Linked DNA regions of Alligator mississippiensis. The protein of the gene in region 2 interacts with the protein of the main gene of each other region in a pairwise test. Links are inferred from orthologs where the notes say so. Each region holds a gene or a part of one and is shown on either strand. Other genes may lie near its edges. The genes, in order: PNRC2 and ESRRG.

The links.
Region 1: the proteins of ESRRG (region 2) and PNRC2 interact in binary tests that used the Homo sapiens proteins (3 or more experiments, as listed by UniProt). The link is inferred for Alligator mississippiensis from reciprocal best matches to the Homo sapiens genes ESRRG and PNRC2.

The regions. Positions count from the first base shown.
Region 1 is NC_081829.1:4,429,535-4,436,881, reverse strand, and holds the start of PNRC2 (proline-rich nuclear receptor coactivator 2), read left to right. Parts: upstream 1-4,135; 5' UTR 4,136-4,228; intron 4,229-4,403; exon of another isoform or gene 4,404-4,881; 5' UTR 4,882-5,087; intron 5,088-5,997; 5' UTR 5,998-6,015; coding exon 6,016-6,441; 3' UTR 6,442-7,347. UniProt on the Homo sapiens protein: Involved in nonsense-mediated mRNA decay (NMD) by acting as a bridge between the mRNA decapping complex and the NMD machinery. May act by targeting the NMD machinery to the P-body and recruiting the decapping machinery to aberrant mRNAs.
Region 2 is NC_081824.1:186,318,797-186,326,884, reverse strand, and holds the start of ESRRG (estrogen-related receptor gamma), read right to left. Parts: upstream 3,153-8,088; 5' UTR 3,023-3,152; coding exon 2,916-3,022; intron 1-2,915. UniProt on the Homo sapiens protein: Orphan receptor that acts as a transcription activator in the absence of bound ligand. Binds specifically to an estrogen response element and activates reporter genes controlled by estrogen response elements.

The DNA.
Region 1 (7,347 bases), on a different chromosome or scaffold from region 2:
AATTTTCCAGTTCTTATTAGGAGTTTGCATAAGACAGGGCACAATGGAGAGCTAGGGTACAACTGGAGACTGGCCCCAGCGGTCATTACACTGAAGTAAAGGAAGGACAGATTAGGAGTGGGTGGAGGTTTCTTGGGTTTCATGATTTTATCATTTTTGAAAGCCCCTCATTTATAACATCTAGGAGCAGTTCAGTTCCTGGATGCTAAAAATACCGCGAGGACAAATCTTTTATTTCAACATGAATGGGCCCTTGAGGCAAAAGACAAGCCTGTGAAAACCTAAGCAGAAATACCAAGTTATGCGATTTTATTAATGTTTTTTTTGTAGAACACAATGACACAGCACAGCTGTGTTTTTTTATATGTAAATTAAATTATGAAATCCATTCCACTCATGCTGTGTTAGATTTTAGCATTTAAAAAAAAAAATCTAATTTTGAGAAATAAAAGCTAGTTGATACAGGCCCTTCAGACAAGTTTCTAAAAGTACATGATACAACTGCACAAGGAAATAGAGGAAGGAAGCAAATCAGTTTTATTAAGTTGTCAAATAACTTACTAAGGGATGTTCCATAGCATGGAAACTGAAAACATCTGAACTGCAAAGCCATTCAGAGTAATTAACTTGAACTTTTGTGCTCTAATTAATTATTTTAAAGCCATTCCACTATAAACAGGTTGTGGGATATGTGAGAGCAGGGAGTGAATAATCCTATTAAAATGTAGAGAATATTTTTCTCTTGAGCTAGTATGGGAAACTCTGATATCAATGGTACAAGTTCTGGTTTGCCCAGATAATGAAATATGCAGTTTGGCTGAACAGCTCACTACTTAGTTCAGATCCAGCTGGGGAAACGTTGGATGCCAAAGTTGTTTCAAATATGCTGAACAAGTAAATTCTTTTAGCTGTTTACATGACTATTTTTGTCTTTCAGCACGAAGCACTTATCTAGTATGAAAAATTTACTGTTCAAAATGGAAGGAAGGAGCTATGGGATTCAGTCTGGAGCTTAATCAGAAAAAAACATGAATTTTAAAAGGGTCCGATTCAGAAGAGACGTGTGGGTGTTTCATTATAACTTTGAGAGCACATATTTCAAGAGGGAGCTTGAAAAGCAGTTAAAAAGAAAATACAGTATGTTCAATGATACGAGTATGGGAAAGACCTGAGGCATGCTAGACCAGGAAATGATTAGGAAATAGTTGTTTAACTAGTAAGATAGGCAGCAATATATACAGTTTGAATGAATCCCACGGGGACAGTCCTTGCTGGATACATGTTAGAGTGAAGACACTGTTTGTGCTGAGTAGAAAAAACAATTACAAATACCAGAAGTAAAATGTTCACGTGATAGGACACTATTTGTAACCCTATTTTTAAATGTTTTTAAAGAGGATGACCTGTTAGGTCACGTGAAAACAGCTGAAGGATGAAACAAAATATTTAGCTAAACTTTTGTTGATTTAACAACTTATATTTATATCAGATAGGAAAAAAATGTGAACCCTCACGCTTCAGCACATTGCCTAGATTAGAAATAAACACCTTTTAGGGGTGGAGTATTTTATAATTGTGCATTATGGGGGTGTTGCACTTTTTCTCTAAAGCAGCTGTTTTTTGCCACTACTCAAGGCAGCATGTTCGGTGATTTGATCCTTCGTGGCAGTTTGCTCACTTCCAGACCAGCTCCTATATACAAGTGTGTAGCAGGCTGAACATAGAGAGTGTCGGCTTTTAATATTGCTGTAATGCTTCCCAAGTTTGCTTATGAACAGAAATTGTGCAGTTTGGATTTGCCTTTTTTTTTCCTATCCACTCTGACACCCTATTAGAAAACCAGACTCTTCTTATTCTATTACCATAAATGCCTCCCTAATGAGAACTATTTACATACAGGTGGTGACCCTGAATATAGAAAGACACTGCATTCTGTTCAAAAAGGATCATTGTAATGCTGAGTCATAAATAAAAATGAATATATTGATAACATTACAATTGATACCGCTACAATTCAGTTCTGGTCCAGTTCAAACGAGTTATCTGTCCTTAGGTATTGCCAGAATCAAAGTGAGTCCCTTAAAAGAACAGAACCTTAGACAGACCGAGCCTACAATAGTTATAGAGAACTGAAGGCTTCTTTTATATCACAGATGAATTAATCAAATGGTATTTAATCAACATGAAGTTGATACACATGTGATCAGTGTATGGTCTCAATATCCAGAGCTTGCATCAAACGCTGTATTTCTCATGCATGTTTGTTTTGAGGACAGATCTCAGACACAGAACCTACTATATTATTTGTCTCTAGAGCAGCTGGCAACTTTATTGGGAGTCTTTACTCATGTACTTGAAGATTAAATTATACTCAGACTCGTGCCAATTTAGAGAACTCAGATGGTGTCATGGCACTTACTCTAGATTTATTGCAGTTTGGGCAGAATTTGGCTTTAAATCAGGATATAATCTTGGATACTTTCTTGACCAAAGAGTAATTCCTTTAGTTTAGGATGACACACTTCAAAGCAAGGCTACTTATGCCCAGTTGTGGTGGTGGCGGGGGGAAACACAGGGGGTAGGGCTGCTTTGTTTGTAGATGTTAGTGCTCACTCTGGTAAATTTGGTACTATTAACGGGTGCTAAAATAAAAGCCCTTAAATATATTGCTTATTAATTATTCTGTGCGAGTTCAGCATTGATACTTGAAGGCAAGTTCAAAATGATTTCAACAGAACAAAATCATTTAACAGATGTTGAAGTGTTCTGTAATGTAAATAGCAAGTACAAACATATACCAGATTGGGATTATGGTTGGAAATAGCTAGGCCCCGGAGGCTATGTGCTACATAACATCCTCTCTTTGGCTTGTGTGGAGTACTAGATGAGTTTAGACATGCGGAGAGCTGGGGTCACATACACTTAATATGCCTTTCCTTTTAGCTGGCAACACGCAGAGTTTACAAAAACATTTTAACTTTCATCTGCTCAAAATCAGATTGTGTATTGAGCGTACAGCTCTGCCTACACTACCATAATATGCTTTAGGAATAAGAGCATTTACAAGAGAGAGTTGGGAGATGGTTATCTGCCGAACACGCATACTCAGAGATCTCTTTCCTCTTCCGAGAACGTGGTAACACTTATTTTTGCAAAACTTGTTACACCTCTCTATTGCTCTCCCTGAACGTATGCTTGTTTCAGAAAACATCCAGAACCCGACGATCAATCAAATAACACAATGGTTCTCCGACACGTTGAGTCATACTTGTTGAGAAATACTGTGTTGTAAGTTTATTATGCGTATCGCTGTGAGTAACAGGGCTGTCAACAGCCACGCACGTAACGAAAACCGGAGTGCTGTATAGCTGGGTGGCAAGGCACCAACTCCACACGGGAGGGGGATGGACTAGGGGCAGAAGTTACACCTAAACCGGTTTAAGTTGTCAGAACCTGGTTTAAACCTGCAATACAACAGAAGTTCGGTGCAGGTAAACCCGTTTCAGAATGGCTGAAACCGGTTTAAGATAAACCTGGTTGAACGTGGTATCGGACCGAACCGGTTCGGGTCAGACGGGTTATGAACCGTCTCTCCCGGACCCCCGAGCGCGTCGTTTTTGCGCTCTTCGACGCCGCTCTCAGCTCCGCCGCTTTCACGGACGCGGGAGGCGTTCGGCTTCGCGTCCTAGCTGCCGGTGTCAGGAGACGGTCTGGGAACCAAAACAAATCTCTTCTTCTGAAGGGGACAAGTAGTTTCTCGCCCTCCTGGCTTTCCAGAACGTGGGCCGCCGCTTCCTAACAACTCAGGTGCTTGAAGACAAAGAGAAAAAAAGAGTTTTTGTTTTGTTTTAAACCAGTTCCCCCTGCTCTTTGTGGGAGGGGTGACCCATCTTCCCCCCCTCCCCAGTGCCCAGGGCAGGGGGGGGGGGGGTCTCCTCAGGAAGGGACGACGCCCCCCTCCCTACCCCTCAGCGCTCCCTCCCCTCCCCCTTCCCGACAGGCTCCGCTCCCAGGAGCAATTCAAACCGCCACCGCCAAGCCCCGCCCCTTCCTCCCCTCACGCCCCAGCAACAGGCGGACCCGGCTCCTATTGGCCGGGCCCGTGATGCGCCGCGCTCCTATTGGCTCGCGCCGCAAGAGGGAGGGGCGGGGGGAGCCGCGGCCGTATAGAGTACGGGGAGGCGGCCGCCATTTCGTGTGGGAGCGAGCGAGCGAGGGGGCGGCCGCGGTAGGAGTCCGTGGAGCGGGGAGTGAGCGAGCGGCGGGGGTGGCTCCGCGCATAGCGGAGAAGCGGCGGGACCGGCTGCCCGAGGCTCGGTGCAGGCGGGAGAGGCGGGCGGGGTGGGCGGGGGAAGGAGCCGAGCGCGGCCGCCATGTTGTGCCGCTCTATTGTTGGGGGAGGGGTCCGTCCCGGCGCTGCCCCGAGCCCCCGGGGCTGGGCCCCGCCGCGGGCGCCGCGCCTGCGAGTGGCGCTGGAGGCTCCGCCCCCTCGCGGACCCACGAGCGTTTCCCGCACGGCCGCGGCGTCAACAAGTGGATCAAATGCTCGCATCGGAGCCCGAGGAGAGACGCGTTTCCGTGCGCTGCGCCAGGCCCTCCCTTGTTTGTTTAATTAAAATGATGATGATTATTTTGTGTGTGAAGAAACAGTAAAAACGCAGCCTCACGGAAACGAGAGCGGCTGTGCAATGGCCCTACGGAGGATAAATGGTCTTGGACGTCGTCCGTCTTTTGTTCGCGAACTGTCTTCGCCCCTTTGTCTGGGGCGAGGGAGCGTGCCCTGCCCTGCCGGGCACAGTTTCAAACCCAAGACATTTTTCAGCGATCAGCTGTTTGTTTTCTTTTTCCCCGCCCAGGGTCAGTTTTCGCTTCTCTTTGCAGCTGGGACTTCTCACCTGGAGCCTGTTTGCTGAGAATCCGATGTGGGGCTCGGCTTCGTGGCTGGACACGGCAGATCGGCCCATGAAAACGTCTATCCCCAGCCAAAGGAAGAGGTCCGGCAAAAGACAGCACCTCCTTTTCCAGGCTTGGCAGCAGAAGAGGGGACGGGAGGTGGCGGCGGTAGAGTCCGAGAAGAAGACTGAAAGGTAACGGGGAGAGCGGAGCACGAGCCGGCGTTTGGCCGTTATGTCTCGGCCAAAAGTGCTTTGGGAAGTAGCTCTTTGAAATTGCGCTGAAGAATTCAAATGCTTCTCACTCTTTTCATAGTCTCGCATCGTTATATGAGCACCCTCCAATAATTTTGCTGTGTTTTTTTTTTTTCTTTTTCCCCCCACCTCCCCAGGGAGAAAATAGCATGTTTTGATGATGATTATTACTATTATTTATTCTAATTTTAAAAAGTCATAGCAGCCTCTCTTTATTCGTGAAGGCAAGTGGCACAGGGCTGTTAGCTTGGGGGTTTGTGACTGCGGTTTTGATTGTTCTGAAGAGGTTTTTTGTAGAATTAACGCTGAAGTGACCCAGGTCACTCCACTGTTTTCTGGAAAAATAAAAGGTAGCATTCTGATAAAACAGCTGTTCTGGAATGGTCAGCTGCGGTCCCTGTGTAGAGGTTTAGGCAAAGTTCACTTATCACCGATTGTGGATGTTCTAGTTCAGCCATGAAGGGGCTGAGCTGTTTACAGCCTTTCTACCTAGCCAGCAACTGCAGACTGTATCATTCATGGATACTGCGTGAGGACTTAGTGTGAAGAAACACTCCTGGGCTGTGGACTGATTTAAGCAATCGCAGTCCGGATGCACGTTCTTGATTGAAGTGTTTCCAAAACAGGACTTGACAGTGTTTGTTCTGTGAAGCGCTGGGCTGTCTCAGTGACAATAACAGTCTTCTGTTGTGAAGGGCAGGTAGTACTAGAGGTCACCGAACTCCAAACATTTTGTTTTAACATTGGAATGCATTCATTGAATTAAGCTTGAGTTAGTTTAAAAAACAAAACAACTAAATGAAAGGCTCTCGTGGAACTTCAGTAAGTGTTACCATTCCCTCTCAAACAGGTGACATTGAAGTTGAAGATGGGTGGTGGAGAAAGATTCAACATTCCAGTTCCCCAGCCTAGAAATATTAACAAGAATCACCAACAACTTAAAAACAGGCAAAAAAGCAAAGATCAGAATTCTCAGATGAAGATTACCTATAAGAAGAAAGAAAGGGGGCATGGATGCAACTCATCATCTGTTGCATGGCAGGCCATGCAAAAAGGAGGAAAGAATGCTGTGCACTTCCAAAATAATCAGAATTGGAATCCTGCTTTATCAAGTCCCAACACACTTTTTACATCTCGAACCAATCAGAACTATGCTGGAGCAAAATTTAGTGAGCCACCTTCACCAAGTGTTCTTCCTAAACCTCCAAGCCACTGGGTACCTGTTTCTTTTAACCCTTCTGATAAAGAAGTAATGACCTTTCAACTTAAAACATTACTAAAAGTCCAGGCTTGAGAGAACTTGAAACACATTTAAAATTACAGGGTTTCAAATTTGAGAATGAGTCAAAATACATAGTTCCAAAATGCACTGTTTCTCATGAGATTGCTTTGTTGCATATAAAAGTTGTGTCATGACGAGACACGAGGACTTTTCTTGAGGATCTCAAACTTCCACCTCATTCAGGTTTGGTGCATTTTACTGTGAAAAACGTATTTACTTACCATTATGCAACCTAATCAGTTTTTTCAGTGGCTATTAATGCCTGCATTTACTGTATTGGTCTTAAATTGAACTGTTCTCAAATTTGAAGTAATGCTACTTAAAAAAGCTGGGTATCTCAGTGGGTAAGAGCTGCTGTTATAAAACCAACTTTTCTACAATGTAATGCAGCAATAGAAAGAGTATGCAACTTACAGAACACTATGAAATCTTTAGAAAACAGAACTACTATCTTTTACACTTAAAGGTCCATCAGTCACATGAAGTCTTTTTAAGGCTAATTAGCAAGGTTTTTTTCTAAGCAAGCCTCTATCTGGCTCCAGTTGTATCAGTGAATTTTTACTTGGCATTTGTCAGTCATCAGTTGACAGGGCAGACTAACATCTGAGCCTGTGACCAAGACTTTGACTTACTCCAAATTTTAGGGGAGGGGGGTGGTAAAGAAAGTCAAAGGAAATAACATCTTGAGCTTTATCAAAATATAGCAATGCATTTATCTAGAACCTGACCAAGTTGAAGTGTGCCAACTAATGCAGCACTTTGCAGTGCCAGGTGACTGCTAAAAACTTTTACAACCTTTCCTTATTTGGATTGCACTGAGCAGCTTTTAAAATGCATTTTTGTATTGGTTTTATATATCTGAAAGAACAGAAATTAGAGTTGTTCAGGTTAGTGTTAAATTTGGATACCTGGTAATAT
Region 2 (8,088 bases):
CTGCTGCCTGGAGTAAGCACTGCAGCAGGGACACAGGAGGAGCTGCTGGAGGCCAGGAAAGCCGAGCAGGTCCCCCAGTGGCTGCAGCAGTGGCAGCAGCCCTGCCCAGAAGCTGTGTGCTGGCTAGGCTGGGGCCCTTCTGCACACGAGGGTGGGAGTGAGGCTAGCTGGGGTATAATTAGTTGGTGGGTGCCCATGGGCTGGATGACATTGTCTGTTGCTCCCTGGTTTAGGAGCACTCAATTGTTAAACGCTTATAAAAAAATTGCTGCGCTAATGTGAACTGAGGTTTTTTTGGAAGACTTATAGTTTGGCCATATATGGGCAAATTTTCACAAAAAGTTCACTCCTAACATAGGGCAACCCCTCTGTCAAATTTAAAGTCAGTGTTCAGGATGGAGATACCAAGGTTCTCCACAAAAACCTTGTATGAATTTAACATGGGCAAAAACCTATTTTTTTCCCCCCCCCCAACATCACTGGTGAAAATGACTGGACCATTTTATCTATAATTACCTGGCCAAGAAAAATCCAACTGGAGTAGTTAAAATCTGATAGGATTATTAGCAACTGAACCTGGGGTCTTCCAGGCTTAGCAAGTGGTGGTGCAACCAGCTTCAACTACAATACATAATCTTGAAATAAAAACTAAAAACAAAAAATGACAGTTTTGGCTTAATGCGTGTTTCCTTTGATCTGATTTTATACAACATAAATCATAAATCTTCAAAAATTATGTTTTTATGATCCTACTAGACAAAGAGATAACTTACTGTGTTGTTTTCCTGTGATGAGGAATAATTCAAGTTCTTACCCTGCCTGATTAATCTCACAACTAATATTTAGAAAAGGTTTCACTTAGAGCTGATCAAACTTGGCAAAAGTAATCTTCAAACTATGCCACATTCACTGATTTGTAAGATTTTTCAAACTTCTGTTTTATTAAGTGCAGTTTAAATTAGCAATAGCACTAAATCCACTGGCTTATGACTCCCTCTGAAGCTTACAAACAGCCCATGGATCACATAAAAGAAAGCACATGCAAATCAAGATTATGACACACTGATCTCATCCAGATTGCCATTTCAGCAGTAAAAGCTTAATTCAGTGAAGTCCTTATGCTCACATTATTTTGCATTCCAGAGGTTAGTTGCTCATGGTTTGGAATGGATGAAGACAGCTCTCTGTTTTGCATTTCAGCCCAGGTCTAACAACTAATCCTTGCACTATTTGTTCAGAGAAGCTACAGTTTGATGAACAGCTCATGGAGCTCTTCACTAGGATCCCGCAGTGGGAGAATCAGGCCCTGCTGGGACAAAGTGGCTCTGAATATCATTACCTACTTTGCAAAGGGCAATAGCAAAGAGCAAAGACCTCCACAAACTGCTGCCCCTTAGAGATTCTATTTTTGCTAACCAAACTTTGAAGGATTCAGCTTGCCTTCACTTCACTGCCTTTAGTTCAGTAAATATCTTCCTGCAATAGAACAGGCAAATCCCACAAATAGCCCCCAACATGTATGTGTGAGAGGGTGTAAATGAGAGATTTGCTTATTAACATTTCCCTATCCTTCTGCAAAATCTCAATGGAGTTAAGGAGCTTCATGATCATAAAAGGGACAATGCTATCGTGGACCTAACTCAAAAGAGCAATAATGGTGTGGCCCAGTTGTTATGATGTGTAGAATTGACTGGTGTTACGGGAAATATGCAAATAACATAAAAGTCTGCCTTAATACTGGTTAATTCTTTCTCTGTTAAGGGACAGGCATTTCAAGGGAGTTTTGCAAGTATGATGGTCCAAAATGTCTTAGTTGTGACTATATGACCTCTTAGCACTGAATCAGGGGAAACAGAAAAAAAATACCACTATGCTCAAAGAGTTCTGAAACCCACTAACTAGATTCAGCTAGTATTTATTAATATATAATTTCCTTTTATTTTTGCAGACAAGCATGGCTACTAACAATGAAATATATTCCTGAATATATTCACTCCAGCCAAAGGGAGAAAAGAAAAGTCTGGGCACAAATAAATACTAATGCTAGTAATGGAAATATTCCAAAAGAAAAAATCAATCTTACAGATTATTCTCGATATCTTTAATCACCTTTGTCACCTGGGTAAATAATATTCTAAGCTACTGATTTGAATGCCTGCTTCGTATCTTCATGGTTTATTGCAAGGTGAAAATTGTGTCTGAAGGTAAGTATTGTCCCGATGCAAGCATATAAAATTACTTTCTTTTAATGAAGATTCAAATATGCTGGAGACCAGCAAGGTAGCTCCTTTCCAGACACTGCCAAGGGATTTCTGAGCGTTTGGTAAAACACTCTATCTGGGTACAGTAGACTATCAGTGAGTTATTCTATTTGTTTATATAAATGGGCCAATGCCTTTTGAAATACTTCAAAGCACTTAACTAAAGCAAACAAGCACTTGAACTTTAGATATCTAACAAGAGGAGCTATTGACAAGTATGACTTTCCTTAGTAAATCTTAATATCTTTGGGAACTATAATTCATATTGTCTCACAGCTCTGCATGAAGGAACACATCAGACTCTTATCTGAACTTGGGCTCCACAAGACTCACAATAAATGTGAAAAACAGAAGTGCTACTGCCTGCCCCCATTATTATTTTTATTCCCCTTTTACTTTCCCAAAAATGACAACCCTGGAGCCCAATAACATCATCTACAACACAAGTCATGGATACGCATTACATCTGTGGTGCTATATATGGCCCTATTACACACAGGAACTTCTATGAATCACTACAGGTAATGTGTGGACAGTTAGACGTAGCATTATAGGAGGTCTCCTGGTTCCCAGTATCCCATAATGCTGAACTTCCCCTCCTCTCCCTACCCACCAGAAAGAGAAGGAGAGTGGCCGTCATAGGGCCAATGCTACCTTGGTGAAGCAGCAGCGTAGCGTTGCTGGGGGGATTCTGCTGCCACCACTAGCAGTGGCACAGCTGGTGCCCACATGATGCATGCTGTAGTGCCAAAAATGAACATGTGTCCTTGGGCAGACCTTGCTGCTTCTTCTGACACCTGATTTCTTTAATTGTAGACGTTTATATGTTTTTTACCCTTTTCTAGAATGCATGTGTTCTTGGATGGCCATCCTAGGTACAACTTCATAGATATTTGATGCATCCCTATCTGTAAAAATGAATTTAGAAGGAATTAGAACATTGTAAGTCACTACTTTTGTTTACTAAAATATGACAGCACAGTTTGTATTTAACCTAAGTTGTTCTCCCCATGTCTACATTTGAAAGTTTTGAGCCAGCCAAATTATATTCTCACTTAACAACGTGTGCATCAGAGATGAATATTCAGAATTACTCCTGAACTTCAGCAGTATCAATGAGAACAGAAATTGGCCCTTTAAATAAAATGTCATCGGTTTTGTGAACCTACTAGACAATTCCTGGTCACCTCTCACTCCTGGTAACTGTGGTCTAGGTGGTTACACTTTTACCAAATATTTTTCCAAAAGGTGGCTAAACGGCCAGCTTATTGAGCTTCAGAAGTTCAAAGTTCAGTCAGTAGTCAAGTTTCTGAGCAGTACTTTAACGTGTTTAGCTATTTGTAAGTGTTTACATTTTCTTTGCAAACAAAAACCAAGCAAACAAAAACTCAGGCATTAGCTAAAATCACAATGAGCTTTCTGGCTTAGAATAGTAAGATCTGATCCACATATCCATTTTTGCTTTATGTATACTTCAAATATGTCAAACATCATACCGCTTCTTAGCTGGACACGGTCAAATCAGGTTTACTATTACAAATCATCTCTATTCCAGTATGAAACAGTAGAGATTTTGTGGCATGGTGGTTATGGCTAATTTTTATCTGGGGAATACCAGGAATGTAGACCACATGGCTAAGTACAGACAATCAAAAGGCCTGAGGCGGAATTGATTCAATGTTTGCAAGTTAGTCTAAGCTGCGGAGATTGAACCAAGAAGCAAGTGAACAGACATTCTGGAAATGCAGTCACATGCCTGCAGTGACTTAGGCTAGAAGCTGGGGGCTGCTAGCAGCCTTCCCTACCCTTTAGCAGTGGCCAGAAGGCTAGGGGGAAGCTGGGAGAAAAGCCCTCCAGGCTTTTCCTGCTCCCTGCATGAGCAGAGTGGGGGTGTGGGCAGGGGTGCGCCTGACTATGGTTATAGAGAGGGGTTTAAACCTGCAGGGACCCCAGCCAGGATGCCCCTGGGGTGGAGGGAAAAAGCAGCACCTGCCAGGCTTTTTCCCTACTCCCCACTGAAGCAGAGGAGGGGGTGTGGCTGGACCCTGGCCCAGGCCAGCATGCTGAGAGGGAAGAGGGGGGTGGGTTTAAATTCCCTTGCCTGCACGGGACCCCAGCAGGGGTCTGCCTGGCAGGGGCACAGCAGCCACTTCCAGGCTTTTCCCCACGCCCGGCTCGAGTGGAGGGGGTGGAGGCATGGCCAGATGCTGTCCCTGAGCCGCATGCTGAAGCAGAGGGGAGGGACAGGGGTTCAAAGCCCTCTCCCTCCTTCAGCCTGGGTCTGCCTGGCAGGGGCGCAGCAGCCCCCATCTGGCTTTTCCCTGCGCCTCGCTTGAGTGGAAGGGGCACAGGTGTGGCCAGATGCCAGCCCTGGGCTGGCACCCTGAAGCAGAGGGAAGGGAGAGGGGATTTAAACCCCGTTCCCTCCCTCAACCCAGGAGGCCCAGGCTGAGAGAAGGAGAGGGGTTTAAACACCCTCTTCCTCCTCCCTGCTTCAGGATGTAGCCTGCGGCCAGCATTTGGCCATGCCCCCACCTCCTCCGCTCAAGCGCAGAACTGCCTGGCAGGGCCTGGAGCTCCCTCTCCCCCTCTGCCTCATTCTGCCTGCTTGGCCGCAGGGTCAGGCCACCTGCCCTTTCACCACTCCAGTGGCGAGTGGGAGAAAAGTCTGGCAGGGGCTGCTCCAGCCCTTGCAGGGAGACCCGGCTGCCTTCTGAAGCCAGATTTTTCCACCCCCACCCCCTTCTCAGCTAGCCAGAGCAGTAATAGTGCTCTGGCTAGGGAGCAGACAGAACAGCTCAGCCCAGGGCTGCAAAGCATCCTGGGATGCTGGGGGACTGTGACTTAACTTGAACCAGGAAGGGGTCTGGGACAGAAGTTCCATAAACTGGTTTGACCTAAATCAGTTAAGTCTGATACTGCATTAAACCAGGTTCATCTTAAACCAGCTTCAGCCATTTTGAAAGTGGTTTATGTGCACTGACTTTCTGTTCTGTTACAGGTTTAAACCGGTTTCTGATCACTTAAACTGGTTAATGTGTAACTTCTGTCCCTTGCCCATGAGTACAAGTATGTGACAGCTAAAAAGCAGATGTTTGAGACACACCTTTCAATTCAACAGCAGGTATACTTCATTCTACATAATACTAGAACCCCTTCTCAAAGCACAGATAAGAAATTTCATTCTGGATTTGTTCACCATATGCAGTGTTAAAAATGCTTAAGGAAGCTCAGTGAAAAATCCTTTGCATGCCCCTAATTGTTGCAATTTCAAAAGGAGGCAAATTATATTTTGCAGGTGATTTAGGTGTCCTGAGATTTCACAGCGCTGGTTAAAGGAAGCTGTTATTCTTTAAATAGCATAAAGTGGGGTTAGTGGTAGCATGGGTGTATTTTACGTGGGTTTTCAGACTTCAGTTAACTAACTGACTAGAGAACGGTTGAAACTGCTTGAATCAGTAATGTAACATGAGGTGAGCGAAAGTGGCACATGCCCCAGACACCACCTAAAGGGAGGGGCACCAGAAGGATGGGGCAGGGGAGGGGTGTTCTCAACTGTAGCAAAAGCCTAACCACAGTAGGTCTCTAAACTGTCACAAAAGTAAAACCGGTCCTGAGTAGAATAAATTTCTGTTTCAACCCACAAAAGATCATTTTTGTAAAAAGATAAACACATGTTGATCTAAGAATACAATTTCACCCTTTAAAATGACGAAGTATGGTTTTTTTGTTAGATTTATCAAGAACTTCAGTGTTACAGGGCAATACCTGATGTCTGGTCAAGTGTCTTGCTGTTTTTCAAGCACTGTTCTGTTAAAAAAATAAAGCTGTATTTGAGTGCAAGAACTCCTCAGTGATAAAATGCAGGTCTAGGCACAGTTCCTCAAGGAAATAGCTTTCAAAAATCTCTGAAATACTCTGTAAGTTATAATTGGGTTTTAATGCATAAAACGGCTGAGTAATTTAAATGTTTGGAAAAGAAAACAGTCTTTCCTAGAGTTTATGAAGTGGCAAGCCTATTTCTTATAACGATTAGCTATGAATCATCACTTCAAACATGAGCATCTACTAGCATATGCTCCATACAACTGATGCTGTATAAGTCCAAAGATTTAACAAATTAACATTTAAGGGTTGATTCTGATCTTAATCTAAATCTTTTATACTAACAGTATTCCACTGATTTCAGTGGAATTATCCCTGGCGCACACTAGAAAATAGTAAATGAGATCAGAATTAGGCCTTTTCACTGGCTGAGAGCTCCTACCACATATTTTGCCCTATGGAAAGAAAACAGAAATATATATAGATATATTGAGAAAGTGGGTATATCACGACATTGTCATGGGAGACAGACAGCAACAACAACAACAGAAAGGTAACATAACACTCATTATTAAAAATGTCATAAGGAATAAATACATATTAAAGGGAGAATGAAATGAGCTAGGACCGCATAAAGTGTATGTATGGTTAACAATATCCCAAATGGCATGCTATTCTAAAGCACAGATAAAACAAGAGTAAAACAAAAGATAATATAATAGAGTTTGGAATACATTGCAAACAAGCAACAAGATCTAATTATTTGGAAAGCTCTCCAAGATCCTGTGGCTTTGGGTGAACTTAATTAAAGAGAAGGGAGAAATTAAAATGGAAAGGAAAAATCAGACTAGATAGATTGAGAGAGAAAAAGAGACAGACAACAGGACACAGGAAGAAATATTGTATCATTTTCTACACCAGAGTAATTCAAAGGTTCTATGAGCATTTTTCAATATTACAAAAATGCAAGATATAGTTTTAACATCTTGAATCCAGAGCCTCCCCCTCTTTCCAAATGTGGCACCTTAATTTAAAATATATATACAGTATACTGCTTGTAATTTATAACTATATCCATTATCATGAGTAATCTAAAAAAAAATGATGTTTTTAATTTCATCTGGAAGATCTTAAGAGCTGTAGTTATTCTGATTTCCTAAGAAAAGCTCTATTTCCCACAGTACCTGATTTCTGTAGATAAAAGTACTTGCTCTAGAAAACGTATACTGATCTCAGAGCAGAAGAGGTAGCCCTGAATTAATCCAGGTCCAATTAAAAGAGGGTTTAGAAGATTAGGGCCAGAACCTTTCGTTCCATCCAGTATTCCATGACAAACTGATAAAGAAACTAAGAGAGAAACTTTGTAAGTTGTGTATGGGTCCTACATCTATGTATGGCAACACCTATTTCCGCTACCTTGCTAACAAGGTCCTGATCCCGCAACTAGACCTGGCCAGATAGATCCCCCACAGGCCCCACAGAGTCAGCACAGTCCCATTACAATTATCATTTCCTTGTGTGAGCTCAGGAGAGTCTGTTCCTACAGAGAAGCTTCCAAAATTGAGGGCAAAGTCAACTTACTTGACAGTTTTTTCCCCAGTTTTACCCAACTACATAGCCTTTTGGACCAGACAATGGGTGCCTCTATGCATGACGCTATGTCACCATAACAACACGCTACAGCGCTGGAATGTCCACGGGTGTCTACACATGACCAGCAGTTACTTTTCCACAGCAATAGCAACGAGCTCCCTGGGTATAGCATGCCCCAAACAAAGTAGCTGATAAAAATAACTGTGCACCACCTTATTTAGTTAACTTAATGGAAGTACTAAATCACAGCACAGTAACGTCACCATAGCGACATGTGTAAATGCACCCAATCACTACCTCACATAGTCTCGAGGACAACAGTTAAACCCACAAACTGAAGAAAAGACTTGTTTTACTTTCCATACCACCATGGAGCTAAGCAGGAGGTGCCCTAATTTTGGATTTTGGC